Linked DNA regions of Caenorhabditis elegans. The protein of the gene in region 1 purifies or fractionates together with the protein of each later gene. This does not show direct contact. Each region holds a gene or a part of one and is shown on either strand. Other genes may lie near its edges.

The links.
Region 2: the proteins of K11H3.8 (region 1) and Y53F4B.39 fractionate together in Caenorhabditis elegans (co-fractionation; one large-scale study listed by BioGRID). This does not show direct contact.
Region 3: the proteins of K11H3.8 (region 1) and gst-10 fractionate together in Caenorhabditis elegans (co-fractionation; one large-scale study listed by BioGRID). This does not show direct contact.

What each region holds. Positions count from the first base shown.
Region 1 is NC_003281.10:9,833,282-9,839,262, forward strand, and holds K11H3.8 (GYF domain-containing protein), read left to right. Parts: upstream 1-1,912; 5' UTR 1,913-1,913; coding exon 1,914-1,978; intron 1,979-2,026; coding exon 2,027-2,427; intron 2,428-3,963; coding exon of another isoform or gene 3,964-4,086; intron 4,087-4,134; coding exon of another isoform or gene 4,135-4,285; intron 4,286-4,623; coding exon 4,624-4,730; intron 4,731-4,778; coding exon 4,779-5,030; 3' UTR 5,031-5,366; downstream 5,367-5,981.
Region 2 is NC_003280.10:15,108,581-15,116,254, forward strand, and holds the start of Y53F4B.39 (Beta-lactamase-like protein 2 homolog), read left to right. Parts: upstream 1-1,563; 5' UTR 1,564-1,571; coding exon 1,572-1,669; intron 1,670-3,587; coding exon 3,588-3,719; intron 3,720-3,773; coding exon 3,774-4,046; intron 4,047-6,797; coding exon 6,798-7,284; 3' UTR 7,285-7,674. Other genes in the region: wshc-4 (HEPN_LA2681 domain-containing protein), read left to right, coding at 275-428.
Region 3 is NC_003283.11:2,559,583-2,565,147, reverse strand, and holds gst-10 (Glutathione S-transferase P 10), read right to left. Parts: upstream 3,459-5,565; 5' UTR 3,443-3,458; coding exon 3,406-3,442; intron 3,357-3,405; coding exon 3,162-3,356; intron 974-3,161; coding exon 573-973; 3' UTR 503-572; downstream 1-502. Other genes in the region: str-154 (Serpentine receptor class r-10), read left to right, coding at 4,409-4,600, 4,649-4,742, 4,812-4,890. UniProt on the Caenorhabditis elegans protein: Conjugation of reduced glutathione to a wide number of exogenous and endogenous hydrophobic electrophiles. Responsible for approximately one-third of 4-hydroxy-2-nonenal conjugation.

The DNA.
Region 1 (5,981 bases):
GGAGTGTGAAGTTAGAAGCTTTTTTTGTTACTTATTTTAAAAACATCATTTCAGTAATTACCACCCTGAACATTACTCTTCACCACCTCTCATGCGTAAACCCGATTTCCGTTTTCCAATCATTAATCCTGGTTTGTAGAAAAACACGTTTACTTAAAAGATATTGTGAATTACAGAGAAAGCTCAAGGAAAACTATTCGTTCTCTATCAGCTGATTATTACCGTTCCGGACTCGTTGAAGAAATTTCCTCCGTACACATCAGAAACAGTTTGCTGCCAACTGTGCGGAATCGATTTGATGGGATCAGCTATGTTTGCTCATCTGATCACTATCCAACATCTTAAGTTATAGAACTGCTTGTTCTCAGAGAATGACGTCGATTTCTGGATTTATAAAGTGAACAGTGTAATCGAGCAGGCGCCTTCAAATGGTAAAGCTCAGTTTACGTTCTTTTGTTTTACTTTTGATTTCAGCTCTGATCCTACCAGGTTTCAACCCTGATACAAATGTGAACTTCTCGGAAACGGTCGGCGAATTCATCAATCGATCGAAGGGATTCGTTAAGAAACCGAGTACGATTAAAAAAGTTCCGTTGTTAATGGAAATAATTTAAATAAATCAGACCTCGAGCAGATCAAAGCCGTCATTGGTGCAGTGATCGATATTAAGGCAGCTGTTGAATATTCGTCAATGAAAGCGAATAGGCCAAGTAAAAACAAAGTTAGGAGCAAGAATTCTAATTCAGAGCAAAAGCGAACCGGAAACTTCCTCTCTCAAGTCGTCGAAAATCTCATGACCAAGGTTGACGCGAATATCTTATCGAGGAGGGTTGGAAAACTATTCAAGAATCACGTATGTTGCTTTCGAAAGTATTGTAATTTTACTCAATTATTTCAGAATGAGTGCACTTTCTGCAACATAAAATTTATTTCATTTTTTGAAATGTGCCGTCACGTGGGAAGCATTCAACTCAGAATGAAGGTAATTTTAATTGAATGTTTCGCCGTTCTGCCGTCTTCCAATAATTCTAAATAATTTCAGATTAACCACTTGCGTTATCAAGATGTCCATGTTGGAACTTGGGTGCGTTTTCTGGCTTCGGCAACTCCACAGAAACAAACAATTGAAGATGTAATTGACGGAGGCTCTTCGAAAAAGGTGCATTCACCTGAAATAATCTATATTGACTAATATATAATATTTTATCGTGTTTTATAGGATCTCAATTCGCTTTTATTAATCTTGTGTCATAGAAATTCCTATGTATTCGTTTCTTTTTCTTGTAAAGTAATTTATTTTTCTTCTATAATATAAACTTTTTTGGAATTGTATCGTTTATATAATTTCGAATATAGTGTATACTTTACACTTTTTTATATCTTTGATATTTTCTTCCGAAGGAAGCCAGTTTTAAGAACTAATATGCTGTACTTACCATTCGTTGTAGGATTTCTGAGAAAACTCATCTCAATTTTTTTAAAAAATAGTTCAGATTTTCTGCGATTTCATTTTTTGGAAATTATATTTTAATGAACAATTAGGTAATTTAATGCAATTTTTTAAAGCCGTTGTGTGCTTATGGGGATAAAATTGTATCATTCCAATAGACCCAGTTTTTAACATTTTTTCTTGCAGAAATATTATCTGACTATTCGTTTCTTCTTTGAAAATTTTTTGATTTATCCGTATTTTTTCATATAATTTTCAAATTTTTCTTCCAAAAACCAAAAAAAAGTTAATTTTAAAAAAGTTAAAAAGTTTATAAAAAAATAATATTTTTGACTTTCGAAAAATAAAATCAAAAAGCCGACACCATTGCTTTTTGTTATACGAAGTAATTTAGAAAACCTCTTTGAATTTTATGAATTCAAAGAATAATAACTATGTTTCAAATAATAATATTTATTTCAGAATGGAGATGGAAGACATAGACGACGATATAACTGTGTTCTACACTGACGATCGTGGTACAGTACAGTAGGTTTTCTATTCTTTTATGAAGTTTTAAGTAATTTCATTTTTCAGAGGACCATACGGAGCCTCAACTGTGCTTGATTGGTACCAGAAAGGATATTTCTCGGACAATCATCAAATGAGATTCACTGACAATGGACAACGAATTGGGAATTTATTCACATATGAAACTACATTGGGTGAGATGAAAGCGAGATATGGAGAAGAAGCACCGATTCCGACGAAACTCGAAGATTTTAATTTTCGTGGATTCTCAATTAAACCGAAATCTAATAAAAGACAACTCGATAGAGATCCACTTAAATTACCAAGGAAAGTGAATCCGAGAGATCTGGAACCAACCGATGCCAGAAACAGGAATGGAAATTATGAAAATCGAAATGAATATGGTTATAACTGTGATAGACAAAGTACAAGCGCAGTGGATTCTAGGAACCAATCTGTACCGCCCGGTATGTTTTTTTTCAGAAAAGATACTTACCGTATTTCCTCTATTAGTCCGGCAGCCTCTATTAGTCTTGCACCCCTACGGACCAATCGAAAATTAGTCTTGCAGCCTCTATTAGTATTGCATGCAAGACTAATAGAGGAAATACGGTGATAGTCTTGCACCCCTATTCCTGCCAGACCAGCAGTATTTTGTGAAAATAATAATAATTGTTTATTTGTCACAAGAAAGAGCTACACCGGAAGATTAAAAAAAAGTAAATAAAATGATGTGTGGACAAATAAGTAAAATGACCAGTTGGACCAGCTATAGCCCGGGAGGTCAAGTTGAGGGGAAGAGGGTGTCGAATGGAATAGAGCCTAGGCGCGACGCAAATGCATTTGGAGTTAACAATTGAGGGAAACGTTTTGCTATTCGATTCCACAACGACAAGTTAACATGTAAAAAAAATTTAGACGGGACACCACAGATAACAAGTAGATAGGGGTGACGAGTAGAGCGTGAAGCTCGAACAAACGATGATAAGGACGGGAAGTGATACTCGCTTGAAATAATTTTATGGAAGGTTCGGAGGATTTGAAGAACCCGTCTGTGGTGAGTAGACAATAAATTAAATTGTGAAAGCCTGCTGCTGTATGACGAGTAAGATAAATTGCACCTTTGAAAGACACACTTTGAGAAAAACCGGAGGGGAGATTCTAGTTTTTTGGCAAGTTCGGTGGAGTTGGGCGGGAAGAGCTCGCAGCCATATTCGAGTACGGGGCGGATGTAAACATTGAACAGTTTAAAATAGAATTCGGGACTTTTAGAGCGGAATGAGCGAAGGATTTGGCGACACTTAAGGAGGGCACTATTAGAAGTCTGATTAATATGATTTACAAATGATAATTTGGTATCGACAATGATTCCGAGATCTCTGATAGAATCACGCGGTTTAATTTCAACACTATTTACAAAGTATTTATGACGGGGGTTCTTTTTACCAAAGTGTAATACGGCAGTTTTTTGCTCAGCAAGATTTAGACGCCATTAAAAAAAAAAAAAAACTTCAAAAATTTCGCCATTTTTTAGTTAAAATAAATTTTAAAGTGTTCAAGTAATTGATAAAACAATAGAAAAGCATGTATTTTGCACGATTTAGACTGTTTCAAGCCAAATTTTTGACGATAAATGATCAACTTTACAAAGCTATTGGATCTTCGAAAATTAGTCATGCATGCAATACTAATAGAGGAAATACGGTAATTATTTCTGGAAACTAAATAATATTACTTGAGCACTAAATTCTGAGAATGCCTATTACGCAGCATATTTGATTTTCTCAATTTTCTTTAGTTTTTCGTGCTTTCTCTATGTATTCTTTCAATATTTTACCGATTAATAAATGATTTCCGTAAATCGACACAAGCGCTACAGTAGTCATTTAAAGAGTTACTGTAGTTTTCGCTCCGAGATATTTTGCGCGTCAAATAATATGTTGCGCAACACGCATTCTCGGAATTGAGTGTTCCCTTAATAAATAATATTTCAAAATATTTAGAATCGCCCACTAGAACAACAAAAAGAAGCAAGAAAAAGATGTTTGTCTGGAAATTCGGGACCCGAACCGGGAGAAATAAACACTGATTCGCAAGAAATGTCCGATATGGTACCATATGGACCGGTATTTATAATCATTATTCATTTTCCAGTATTCTCAAAATTATTACAGGAGCCACCTCCTCCGAAAAAACGAAATGATGAATATGTTCTTCGTTCAAAAGGAAATATTCGATCCAGTGATGAGAAAAGGCTGACGGTTGGGAAAAGGAGTCTACCATTTTATTATGGAGATGAAGACAAGAAGAAAACCAGTTTGAAAAGTTAGTGAAATTGGGAAATTGGGAATTTAAAATTTATATTTTTTGTAAAATTTGGACGTATGTGTGTGCACCTTTAAGGAGTACTGTAATTGAAAACTTTCGTTGCTGAGAAAAACTTTGAAAAAATCTCGTTTAGGTGATTTCAATTGTTTTATTTTAGTTTTTCTATTTAGTAATACGAAAAACAATGAAAGTTTGAAATTACAGTACTCTTTAAAGGTTCACATGCGTTTGTAAATACAAACAATTTCGTGTCAAGACCGGGTATCGTATTTTTCGCGCAAAAATCGCAAAATTTTGTATCTGTGTAATATTTTTAATTTTATTCATTTTTCCAGAAATAATTGCACTCGAGTTCGCTTCAATACTCCGCACGGATTATGTGAAATTGGAGAAACGGCAACGCGATCAACTTCACAACATTTGTAACCAATGGGAGCTACCGGTGATTTCTTAAATAAAAATATTTTTTTATTAATAAATGTATTTATAGGATAACTGCAGATTCTGCAAATGTGCTTTAAAATTCGCTCCAAATTTCTTGAGCCATGTACTGTCTATTCCACACATTACGAAGAGCATGGATCAATATGACAGACGTTTCACATTTGAAGGAGACTATCGTATGCTTAAAAACGAAATCGAAAAAGTTAAAACGAATTGTCGGGATGCTCCAAGTCCTCTTCCACCTGCAATGGATCCTGTTGCACCATATCATGTTCGCGATAAATGCACACAATCATAATATTTCACCCAATTACCATCCCATGTACATTAAGATTTAATAGATACTCAATCAAACTTTTTTCACCTGTTCCCACGATTTCTTCGCGTTTTCAGCGAAAGCACAGAAAAGCTAATTTTACATATAAAAAGTAGCACTCTATTTACAAGTGTTCTTGTCTTATACAATATTTTCGTGTTCCTTTATCCACGTCCCCCCCCCATGACCTATTGTATTGTTTCAGAATTTTTTTAACATGGCTCTTTTTCCTTACAAAATACTTCACCTCCCCCATTTTTCCTTTTTTTCCAACAAATTTTCGTCTTGATTCCAAAAATAAACATTGGAGTTATTGAAGCATTGCAACAATGCAATGATGATTCTCTTACTTTTATCAGCAAATTTATTGAAGGATTAGCGCCTTTTTGTCTTTTTGTCGTCGCCGTCAAGAACATTTGTGTTTTGTTTCGACTTTGATCGCTTTTTTTCTTTAATTATTCCATGATCAGAGTCCATTGACATAAGGCTTCAGGAGAGTAATGCGGGATTTTAAAATACGGTACCAGGTCTCGACAAGACAAATGTTTGTTCAATGCAAAAAGATCTGCGCCTTTAAAGGGTACTGTAGTTTCAAACTATTGTTTCCGCGGAGTTTTCATCGATTTTTAAATTTATCTTTTTTTTTAGAAAGCTCAAATGAAAAGAAAACTTAAATTTTAACAAATCTTGAGAAAAACAATTCAAAATCGATAAAAATTTTGCGAAAACGAAATTTAGACATTACAGTACTGCTTAAAGGCGCACAACTCTTCGCGTTTAACAAAACAATTTCGTGTCGAGACCGTTCACCGTATTTTAAAGCTAAAACTGCATAATTTCAAAAATCAAAATTACGGAGATCGTGGCGAGACCCGAAAACACACATGTTCCTTTAAAGTGAAGCTTTAAATTTTGTTGCATAGTTTTAAATGT
Region 2 (7,674 bases), on another chromosome or scaffold:
TCTTAATATTTTGAACAGGAAATCTGGAAAATCTGAAGTTCTAAAAAAATTTACAAATTATTTTTTCGCCAATTTTCAAAAATTGCAATTTATACTTACTTTTCTTGGTAAAACCAATATTAAATTGCGGGAAGAAATGAGCTTTATAAAAAATTCCGAATTTCTCTCAAATTAGTAAAAATTCCAACAAAAAATGTTTTTTTGAAATTTTTGAAAACATTTTTTCAAAAATATTTTTTTTTTTAAATTCTCAATTCTACCTTCCTATTTTCAGCACAAAAGAGCACGAAATTCGTTCACAATCGGAAAGCCGCGAGTACAGTCAGGCAGTACAGTTGAAAATCGAACGACTTCAGACGGAGCTCAAAATTCTCACAAATTTCAAAATGAATTTCGGCATTCAGCACACCATTTTCACGATGAATTAGGTCAAACTACAGTATCCCCCCCCCCCCCCTCACAAATCGTTGCGGGACCCACATTTTTGCTCAAAATTTCATTTTTCTACCGTCTAACACTTGACTTTTTTTCCCCATAATACCGATTTGTTCGTTTCTGTTGTTATCAAATGCTACAGTCTAGCCACATTTTCTCATTTTACTCCCCTTATATTTGTAAAATTGTTTAGTTTGTTTTTTTTTCGCCTGGAAATCGATTTTTTTGCGAATAGTTGAAAAATTTTGGAAAATTTAGAAAAATTCAGAAATTTTAGTTTTTAGTAATTTTTTTAAAAACTTTTTCAGTCAAAAATACTGAAATTTCCGGAATTTCAAAAAAAAATTATAGAAAAGTTTCTTAAAATTATAGCGTTTTGTTGAAATTCCCGATAAAATTGGTAAATCCTGGAAATTCTAAAAATTAAATTTTTTATCCAAAAAATTCAGCTAAACAGAAAATTGTTTGAACTTTTTAATTAAAAATTCCCGATTTTACAGAAAAAGTCAAAAATTTTGAAAAATCGTGAAAATTCTAAAAATTCGATTTTTTTATCGAACATTTTTTTGAGAATCCCAAAAAAACTGAAAAAAATAAAAATTTTAATTAAAAATTTCAGATTTTAGCGAAAATTCTCAAAAATTTTGGAAAAATAGAAAAAATTTCAACTTTTTGATTAAAACTCCCAGATTTTTGCAAAAATTCTCAAAATTTTGGAAAAAAAACTGAATTTTTTCTCCAAAAAATCCTATTTTTGTTAAAATTCTCGAAATTTTTCGGAAAAATCCTAAAATTTCCAATTTTTATCCAAATTTCCATAAAAATCGATTTCCAGCGACTTTTTATCATTACCTAGTTTTTAGTTTTTTTTTGTTTTGAATATTTTTTTCTTTTTTTTCCTCAGCTCCCAATTTTTAAAAACTATTTTAATTTAATATCGTCAATCCTCTCCTGTCACCATTGTTAATGTTTTTTTTTGAAATTTTAATTAAATTTCTACCATTTTTAATCCATTTTTCTCTATCCGATCGATTTTCCATGAAAATTGGTCCTAAAACGACCTAATGACCTATATTTCTGAATCACCCAGAGGCGGGGGCGGAAACATAGATGAGTATCTCGTAATTCAGAACACGATGACGGCGTACGTTGGACGAGCCTGGACGATGCTTCGTTTTTATACGGATTTCGCATACGCCGGTGTTGCCTATTTGGTTAATTCAAAGGCACATAGGTTGGTTTGTAATTCGGGGTCTTGGCGCGAAAGTTTTTTTTTTCAAAATTTCGGCTTTTTGTGTCGATTTACGAGCTTTTCCAGGCTTTCTCGACGATTTTTTTTTTGAATTTTCATAATTTCGGTTTTGTGCCGATTTACGAGAATGACAAAGAAAATTAGGAATTTCAGCTCTTTGTGTAGTTTTACTAGCTCATTAATTCTTTGGTAAATTTTGCCTCTTTGTGTCGATGTACGAGCTTTTTCAGGATTTTTCCACGAATTTTTTTTTGATCTTTTTCCTGAATTTTCGAAATTTCGGTTTTCTGTCGATTTACGAGAATAGTAGAAAATTAGAAATTCCGGCTTTTTGTGTCGATTTACGAGCTTGTGTTCAGTTATTTTTTAAATTCAAGTCAAAATTTCGGATGCCAGTGTAGATTTACGAGCTCATTTTTTGGTGAATTCTGACTGCTTGTGTCGATTTACGAGGTTTTTTCTGACTTTTAGAAATTGTTGTGTTAATTGATAATATTTTTAAATTATTCAATTTTTAAATAAATAATTTAATTCCTAAATTCTGAAAAAAACCAGTGCTCGTAAATCGACACAGAGATGCGTAAATCTACAATGCCATGATTAAAAAAAAACTATTTTCCAGGATGTATGATATTGTTTCTCATGAATCTGAGAAAAATTGAAAAAAAATTCCGCTCGTAAATCGACATCCAGCTGCGTAAACCTACAATGATACCAAAATTTGTTCCCTAATAAAGACATTTTTTTTTCTGAATTTTCTCTGAATTTTTTAAGAAGACTACTTTTTTTTGAATATTTATTAGTTTTAGGGGGCTTTAAAAAATTTTTAACAAACATTGTAAATTGCCGATTTGCCGGAAATTTTCAATTCCGGCAATTTGCCGGTTTGCCGGAAATTTTCAATTCCGGCAATATACTGATTTGCCGGAAAATTTCAATTCCCGCAATTTGCCGATTTGCCGGAAATTTTCAATTCCGGCAATTTGCCTTTTTGCCGGAAATTTTCAATTCTGGCAATATACTGATTTGCCGGAAAATTTCAATTCCCGCAATTTGCCGATTTGCCGGAAATTTTCAATTCCGGCAATTTGCCTTTTTGCCGGAAATTTTCAATTCTGGCAATTTGCCGGTTTGCCGGAAATTTTCAATTCCCGCAATTTGCCGATTTGCCAGAAATTGCATTGTACTATACAATTGCATTATCAATACATTCTGACTTATCGCCCAAGTCACAAAATTGCAAAATTCCATTGGCTGACACCTAGAAATTGGCAAACATCATCATTTAAGTGTAGCCAACTGACTACAGTGTTCCGAAAATAAGGGAAATTTAGAAAGAGAGAGAGAGATAGACGAAACAAGTCACAGAACGATTATCGATCACTTTTCAGTTGGTTTTCTTTAATTCTTCATAGTTTCCCATTTGAAACAATGTCTCGAAATTCAGTAATTTTTCCGGAAAAAAAGTTAAATCAAATTGGTTGTAAAGTTTTGTATTATTTAAAAAAATTGTGCATTTATTAACAATCAGAACCTGTAAAAGTTGGCAAAAATTGAAAAAAAAGTCTCCGTAAATCGACAGCTAGCTGCGTAAAACAACACTGATTGGAGTAGATTTAGACTAGATTATGACTAGATTTAGGAATTAAAGAATTAAATTATTTAAAATATATCGAAATAACCGAAACTAAAACTGAAATCTATTGCGCAACATAATTGACGCGCAAAATATCTCGTTGCGAAAACTACAGTATCTCTTTAACTGACTAATGTAGCGCTGGTTTTGATTTTCGGGCAATTGCAGTTTCGAATTTACTCTGCAAAAAAAATCACAAATTTTGCATAAAGCACTACACTTTTTTCAAAACTTCTCTGAAAATCTCGAAATTCTTTTTTTCAGAGCCATGCCAAGCCTCACTCACGTGGAGCCCATCGAGAAGCTCTCCGACGCGGTCACCAGAATTCTCGGCCACAATCCCGGCCCCTTCACTCTTCAAGGAACTAATACATATCTACTGGGCACTGGTGCAAAGTAGGCAGCAATATTCTGAAAATTTTTAATTTCTAATCAAATTTTTTCTTTCAGAAAAATCCTCGTGGACACTGGTGAGCCGAACGTCACCGAGTACATTTCGGCACTGAAATCAGTTCTCGCATCTACGAATTCCCACATTGAATATATCGTTATTACGCATTGGCATGGCGATCATGTTGGTGGAATCGATAATATTACTGATGAGATTTTGGATAAAAAGAAGATACCTATTTATAAAATGAAACGGGACAAGGATGAGGGTGTCGAGAGATTTCATTATGTTGACGATGGGTTTGAGGTTGCAGTTGATGGAGCCACGCTGAAGTGAGCATTTATCATTAGAGAATTGGTTTTATTAGAAAAAAACCGTAGTAGTACTGTAGGGATACTGTAGTTCCGCTGTAGGTGCACTGTAGGTATGTACTGTAGCATTAAGGAGGACTAACGGTTCGGACGATTTTGACCGTATAGACCCAAAATGAGCTCAAATGAACGAATTTCGTAATGAAACTGCTCAAAACAATTTTCAAAAATTTTTTATGGCGTTTCAAAATTTTGAAAAAATTGAAAAAATGAATTATCGTCCTTTATTACATATATTGGTAATTAATCTCATTTAATTTCGTCGATTAAGGTACATTTAAAGCCGTTAGGTAACCAAAAATCATCGAAATTGGTTACCTATCGGCTTTAAATGTACTTTAATCCACGAAATTAAATGAGATTAATTGCCAATATATGCAATAAAGGACGATAATTCCAAAAAATCCAACTTCGGACAGATGTGACACGAAAAAATGGGAAAAACTCATGATTTTAGGTAAAATCAGTGTAATTTTTTCAAAATTTTGAACCGCCATAAAAAATGTTTGAAAATTGTTTTGAGCAGTTTCATTACGAAATTCGTTCATTTGAGCTCAATTTGGGTCTATACGTTCAAAATCGTTCGAACCGTTAGTCCTCCTTTAGTAGTACTATAGTGATAGTGTAGGGTTACTGTAGGTATATTATAGGAGTACTGTAATAGTGCCGTAGGGGCACTCTAGTAGTACTATATGGGTAGTGAAGGAGTTTTGTAGAGGTACTGTAGGTATATTTCGGTTGTACTGTAGTAGTATTATAGGGTTACTGTAGGAGTACTTCAGGGGTACTGTAGTGATATTGGGAGGGGTGGGTACTGAAGTAGTGATATTGGGGTACTGTAGTAGTACTGTATTTCTAGAAACAAATTAATTGTGTCTTTTTAAATGAGTAGTGTTGTAGGGGGTACTGCTAGAAATCGATTTTTTGTTGTGAAAATTTGGAAAAAATTGGAATTTTCTGAAATTTCAAATTAAATGCAATTTCAGTTACCATCTGTTATTTTTAAGAATTTTTGATTTTAAATTCCTTTGAAATTTTCTATATTATTTTTTTTTCCGGGACGATTTTTTAAATTCCTAATTTTTGTCGAAAATCTCCGAAAATAATAAGGAAAAAACCTTAACAATTAATGTTCCTCAAAAAATACCTTGAAATCTCAGTTTTTTGTTGAAATTCTCAAAAAAAAAAAGGATCCATATTTTTTTTCAAAAAGGAATTTATGAATACAAAATTTTTTGAACGTTTGTTCCAAAAAAATGTGTTAGTACAGTAGTGCCGTAATGGTAGCAATACTGTAGTAGTAGTAGTACTGTAGGGGTAATGTAGGGACATTGTAGTAGTATTATAGGGGTACTGTAGTGGTACTACGGAGGTACTGTAGAAGTTCCGAAGGTGTGCTGCATTAGTACTGTAGGGGTACAGTAGTACAGTAGTACTGTAAGTGTACTGGTACTATAGCTATTTTGTACGTGTACTGTAGGTATATTGTAGTTGCACTATAGTATTATTATAGGGGGTACTGTAGTGGTATTGTACAAGGCTGGGATTTTTTTTTGAATTTTTTTGCCATTGTAACGAAAAATTGATTTTTTTGTTTGTTTTTTTAAGACCGAAAAACCAAAAAAAAATGCATTTTTCACGGTAAAAAAATTAATTCAAGTATCAAATTTTTTGTTGGTTTTTTTTTGATTTTTCCCAAATTTCAATTTTTCTTGGTCCAAAATCAAAACGAAACACTTATTGTTTTTTGATCCCAGCCCTGAAACTGTGGTATTAACTGTAGTAGCATAGCTCTTTTTCAAAAAAATTGAATTGCCATGAGAAATTTTTTTTTGGAAATTTCAAGATATATCAATTTAGCCTTTCTTCGAGTTATTTTAAAAGTGGTGTAGTCGAATTTTTTTAAATTTCTTTATTGGACTCAAAATTGTCTGAAAACACCGAATTTCATAATGAAACTTCTTGAAAACTTTTCAAAAAAAAGTTATGGCCTCTTGAAAAATGGCCTAAAATTAGTGAAAATTTGAAATTTGACCGACTTATCATTGTCGCAGCGGCTGGAAACAATTTTTTTTTGAAATTGTCGTCTAATTTTGGGTATACAGGTCGATTATCTTGCATTTTCAGCTTTATTAAGGTATTTGAAAGTCGATGGACGAAGAGAATTGATGAAAAAAATTTGACAAATCTCTTCGTCCATCGACTTTCAAATACCTTAATAAAGCTGAAAACGCAAGATAATCGACCTGTATAGCCAAAATTAGACGACAATTTCAAAAAAAAATTGTTTCCAGCCGCTGCGACAATGATAAGTCGGTCAAATTTCAAATTTTCACTAATTTTAGGCCATTTTTCAAGAGGCCATAACTTTTTTTTGAAAAGTTTTCAAGAAGTTTCATTATGAAATTCGGTGTTTTCAGACAATTTTGAGTCCAATAAAGAAATTAAAAAAAATTCGACTACACCACCTTTAAAATAACTCGAAGAAAGGCTAAATTGATATATCTTGAAATTTCCAAAAAAAAATTTCTCATGGCAATTCAATTTTTTGAAAAAGAGCTATGCTACTACAGTTAATACCACAGTTTCAGGGCTGGGATCAAAAAACAAAAATTCGGTGTTTTCAGACAATTTTGAGTCCAATAAAGAAATTAAAAAAAATTCGACTACACCACCTTTAAGCTAGTCCATCTTTAAACATTAAATTTCCAGACTAATCGCCACTCCAGGCCACACCGCCGATCACTTCTCTCTGTGGCTCCAAGAGGAACGAGCATTGTTCAGTGGAGACTGCATCCTCGGCGAGGGAACTACCGTCTTCGAGGATCTTCATGACTATATGACTTCACTGCAAAAGATCAAGGATCTCAATGCGACAAGGATTTATCCGGGTCATGGTCCGGTTATCGATAAGGTCGTGGAGAAGGTTGACGAGTACATCGAGCACCGAATGAAACGAGAACGCGAGATTATCAAAGTGCTCAAAGAGCACGAGGAGATCACCAGTATGGATGTGACTAATCAGGTTTATGCTGACTCGCCGTGGGCTGTACGACTGGCTGCGTTGAACAATGTGAAGCTCGTGCTGAAGAAGCTTTGCAAGGATGGAGTCGTTGAGAATCCGCATTTTGAGACTTTCAAGTGGATTGGAGGCAGTAGTAGTGGAGAGGAGAAGAAGAATGAATCGTCGAATTTGTAGAAAAAAAAAATTATTTTTTGGAATTTTAAATATTTAATTCGCTCTTTATGTGTTTTCAAAATGTAGAATTTACGATGTTAATTCGAACTTTTCATAGATTAAATTTAAGTTTTAACCTACCTATATTTGAGAATTCCAAAAAATCTCGAAAATATTCATTTTTTAAATTCGAAAACCATATTTTTTCGAATTAAAAAATTCAAACTTCTGGAAAAAATTTGAAATTTTTAATTTTTTTTGTTTGATTTTTCAAAAAATTTCCGGAAAATTAATTTCAGTACCAATTTTTTCAAAATTTCGAGTATTTTTCGAATATCTCGAAGCGGATTTCGAATTTTGAAAATTAAGGAAATAATTTTTTTTATCTCCAAAATTTCCAAAAATTCAACC
Region 3 (5,565 bases), on another chromosome or scaffold:
GAATTCTTATCGGGTGCGGTAGATAATTTTTTTTTAATTATTATGGGTACGTTTCTGGGTCTAGATATTCGATTTTGGCCGCGCTAGAGGGGTTTTGGTTTCCAATTCATTTTTTACAGGCATATGACTGTAGCGTTGCCAAAATCGAATTTCTAGACCCAGAAACGTACCCATAGTATTAAAAAAAATTATCTACCGCACCCGATAAGAATTCTACCAAAATTCCAAAAAAAATTTTTTGCAAAAAACTGTTAATTCAGGTGAGCAAATTAAAATGCCTTCTCAAAAATAAATTTTCGAACTGCATTAATTTTGAGCCTCTACGACAAAAACTCCAAACTGAGAAACAAAAATAAAAATATATCCAGAGCTTGGCCCTTTCTAATTGTCTGGAAAATTGAAAAAAAAAGCATAAAAGTTTTTGAAAAACGCCATAAATTTTTGAAGATTTTTTTCTCATATATAGGGCAAAAAATTCACAAAAGCTACTCCCGTAAGTTGCTTTTTAAAATAATATCCATTTATTTGTCAACATAGATTCGAAAAAAAAAACATTTGCATTTTTAAAGCAATCAGTTCATTCCCTTCTCAATCGCGTTGATCCAGACTTTGTCGGCCTTTCTCTTTTCGAGATACGCGTTCAAATTCGGTCTCTTCCACATTCTTTCCCAGAACGACTTCAGAGTTGGGAATTTGTCTAGGATATTCGCATCCAAAACGTGGTAGACGTCCAACTCCTCGAAGAGAATATAGTCCGCATAACTAATCTTGTTTCCAATGATGAAGTCTCCGGAATGAGCTTTGAAAAGCTCTTCCAACTTCACTAGAGCCTCCGGGATGGTTTTGTTGACACAATCCTCGCGGGTTCCCTCGTCGTAGTAAATGTAACGGACGTATTTCATACGAACATCGCGGACTCCCTCGAAGAACATGTCGAGGAAGGTTGCCTCTTGCTCGTTGGATCCGTTCAAGCCTGAAATTTTTAATTACATAAAATAGATCTGTGACGTCATAATACACTATATATATCAGGTTGTCCCATAAGTTTTTGTACTTTTTTTCAAATATTTTTCCAAAACTTCTAGAAAGTTTAAAAATTTTTTCATCGTAGGTCGTGTCAAGGTCGGGTCTTCCCCTTTCAGAAAAAATTCATTTCATCCATTTCTACTTTGCCACGATGACAATCATCAAACTTGAACGTCGAGACGTTAGATTGCTTCTTCTTTATGAATTTCGTCTTGGTCATTCAGCAATGGAAGCGGAACGAAACATATGCGGTGCGATGGGTGAGGGAGCACTCTCTTATAATACAGCAAAGAGTTGGTTTCAAAAGTTCAAGAACGGCGACTTCAGTCTCGAAGAAATAGAACGTTCTGGGCGACCGGTAGAGTTAAATGAAGAAGACCTAGTGAAGCTGGTGGAGGAAGAGCCTCGTCTTAGTCTTCGTGAAATGGAAGAGAAGCTTGAGTGTTGTCATAGCACAATTGCACGTCACTTGGGTCGCCTTGGTTTTACTTCAAAACTTGGAATTTGGGTGCCTCATGAACTTTCGGCATCACAGAAGCTCACTCGGGTCAACGTTTGTACTCAACTTCTAACTTTTCGTCGAAAGTTCGATTGGCTGAACAATCTGGTTACTGGAGATGAGAAGTGGGTGCTCTATGTTAACCATTCCAGAAAACGTCAATGGCTTCCGATCGGTGAGAAAGGAATACCGACGCCAAAGCCTGATCTTCACCCAAAAAAGATTATGATCTGTGTCTGGTGGGGTGTTCAAGGACCCGTGCACTGGGAATTGTTGCCAACTAATAAAACTATCACTGCTGATTACTATTGTGCCCAATTGGACCGAGTTGCAGAAAAGACCAACGGAAAATATGAAAAACTATATTTTCTTCACGATAATGCTAGGCCTCATGTCGCCAAGAAGACTTTCCAGAAGCTGCAAGATCTTGGTTGGACTGTTTTACCGCATCCACCATATTCTCCAGATCTTGCACCAACCGACTACCATTTGTTCTTGTCTCTCAGTGACTACATGCGCGACAAGCAATTCGACGACGAAGAGCATCTCAAAACTGAACTCTCCACTTTCTTCTCATCGCGTTCGCCGGATTTCTTCTCCCGTGGCATCATGATGTTACCTAGTAAATGGCAACAAGTGGTGGACACTAATGGTGAATACTTGTGTGAATAGTACTACTTGTCGCTTGAGAGAAATAAATTTTTTTCAAAAAAAAAATAGTACAAAAACTTATGGGACAACCTGATATATATATGATATAAATAGAAAAATTTTAATTTCCCGCCCAAATTTTTATCAGAAAATTGTAATTTCCGACCAAAATTATTTTCTGAATCAACTAAAATTTCTCGCCAATGTTTTCAATGAGATTATTTGAAGTTCCCGCCAAAATCTTTCTCAAAAATTTGAATTTCTTGTCGCAAAGTTTTTTTTTTTTGGAAAAATTGAAATTACGAAAAAAAAAAATTAAAGAAAAATGTATTTTTCCGCTTAAAGTTTTTTTCAGAACATTTGAATTGACTGAAGAAAATCTTCCTCAAATATTTGGATTCCGCGCTAAAATTTTTCAGAGATAATCCCGCCAAAATTGTATTTTTTCTGAAAGAATTGAAATTTTTCGCCAAATGTTTTCCCGATAAACTGGAATTTTTTTTCTAAAAAACATAAAATTTTTGCCAAATGTTTATCTCAGAAAATTTGAATTTCCCGCAAAATTATTTTTTTTCTGACTATGAGATAAGTTGAATTTCTAGCCTAATTTTTTGCATAAAATTTGAGTTCCCCGCCAGAAATTGTTTGTACTAAAAATTTGAATATCCCGCTAAATTGTTTTTTTTCCGTAAATATTGAATTTCCCGCCAAAATTGATCCTTATAAAATTTGAAATGTTTTCTGAAAAAAATTGAAATTTTCGCCAAATATTTTTCTCAGAATAATTGAATTTCCCTCAAAAATTTGACCTGAAAATTTTTCTAACTTCCCGCCAAAAATACTTCCTGTTGTGAAAATTTGAATTTCCCACTAAATGTTTTCCGAAAAAATTGAAATTTCCCCCAAAATATTATCAGAGAAAATTTGAATATCCCGCCAACAATCTTTCCTGAAAAAATTCGAATTTCCCGCCAAATCTCCTTACCATGAACTCTTCCCAAATGACGCATAATTGCTCCAGTCTGCACAATCTCTTGCCCGTCCACCTTCAAGCATGGCAACTGACCAAGGAGCATTCCTTTTTTAAACTCTTGCCATTCATTCCCCTCGTAGTCGAACCGAATGTCTTCGAATTTGATACCATTGTCGAGGAACAGAAGACGGATGTATTCTCCGAATCCTGAAAAATATTGAGCTTTCCAAAAATGCAAAACTTTAAAATTTCTTACCTCGAATAGTGAAGTAGTAAAGTTGTGGCACGGCCATCGTACGAGCTCTTATCGTTTAGGTCTAATGGCCTCTACTTTTATACCAATTTGAATTGTCATCAACATAGATTAGACATGGGTAAGCATGAAGAGATTTAGAGAAAAAAACACGCGTGTTTCGACGAAACTAGACCGATCAAAGATTGAGGGAAAACAATATTTTACTTTGACAAACACAACCTGAATGGGGACACTGAGTACTAGTTTTTAATTGGTGCATTGGAACATTATTTTTGCAGCGCTATTATAGAGAAAATAGGATAGGATACCGTATATCCTCTATTAGTAAGGCGCCTCTATTAGTTTTGCATCTAAAATCACTCATCAAAAATTAGTTTTGATTGAAAAAATGAAAGATTTCTATGTCACCAGTTCTAGAAAACTCTTCCACAACCAAAAAATCTCGGCCATCAAGTACTTTCGATAAATTCGAGTGGTCCAGTGTCATTGTTATAGACAATTGAAGAAGTCGCTTCAGAGGAGTCGGAACTGGGCGAAGCCTGTTTTGGAGCCCTCGCCGCCGCCCGTTTCCTGGTCAATGCACAGATGGGCTCTTTCGACCAAATCGTCATACTTGGCACAAAATACGTTTCCCTGTCCTCTGGGCTCGCAAAGCTCTAATACTCCAAATTTTCGGATAAACCACCCTGCATATTATAAGTCGATATCACACAGATGATTTGCGTTTGGTCAGTCGCAGGTGTAATTTGAAGAACCAGACACGCAGTTTAGCACCTGCGACACATCAAACGAGAATCATATACAAACTGCAATTACAAGGAACAAGGAAGTATAAAATGAATCATTCTTCTAAATTGCAAACTATAATTATAAACTCTATATATATATGAAACAAATCGGCTTTCTTTATTTTTTTAAATTTCAAATAACTTCTAACTTCCAGAAACACTTTCTCCAAATAACTTGCTCCGTGGCTTTCTCCGGTTAAATTTCACATTTGGAAATGAGAACGTTTTCCTTAATAAAATCAATAACTCAGCCAATTGCCGCAGTACTGTCTGTTGTGGTAAATTTCATTCTGATTACCCTTGTAGTTACAAGTTCACCGCGGAAAATGGGAAGCTACAAGTATTTGCTGATATACTGCTCAGGCTTGTCAATTGCATATGCAGCATTTCATTTTGTTGCAGCACCCGTAAGTTGTCAGTGTTGAAGCGTTTTTTTTTTGAATGATTACTTTCAGTACATGTTTAATGACGACTCAACTGTAGTTATTCTTGTGGATTTGAAGAGTAATATGCTAGAGAATCATCCAGATGTCTTGAAGTTCACTGTTGGTGAGAGAACTGTCTTTTAAATTGAAATTTAAAAAGAAGCAATTTTGATTTTTTAATCATTTTTTTCAGTTTCCGGAGTGGCATTTTTTGGAACAAGTATTTACGCTATAGCAATCAACTTCATATATCGCTATTTTGCCGTTCAAAGGTACTGTATCATTAGTCAATTTTTCAAGCTTCATATACAATTAACATCACTTCTACTTTTGATAGAAAATTCTAGGAAAATCAACAAATAAACTAGGGCACGCTCTCCTCAAAATCGAATAATTATTAGAGCGCGCTTGCTACGTTTCGCGTTTCTGCATCCGCGGTGTTTTGCCGTTCCACTGAAAATTGCAGATTTTTCAGATTTATCAAATTTTGAGCTTTAATAATTTTTTCTGCATTTACGATCAAGCCTTTTGTTAAACAATGAAAATCGAATTTAAAATTACTAAAATGAAATTTTTTCGTCCACTGGTTGAGAAAAGGTTAAAAAAAAATCAACAGGATTTTTCTAATTTTCTAAATATTTTTCAATTAAACATCGGGTTTTAAACATTAATGACCCTAAACATTTGCGATCCTAGTTATAGTCAAAAATGTGTTAAAAACGATTTTCAATAGGAAAATATTTAGAAAATAAGAAAAATCCTGTTGATTTTTTTTAAATTTCAAACCATTTCTCAACCAGTGGACGAAAAAAGTTAATTTTAGTCATTTTAAATACGATTTTCACTGTTTAACAAAAGGTTTGTTCGTAAAATGCAGAAAAAATTTATTAAAGCTTAAAATTTGGTAAATCTTCAATTTTCAGTGGAAAGGCAAAACACGGCGGATG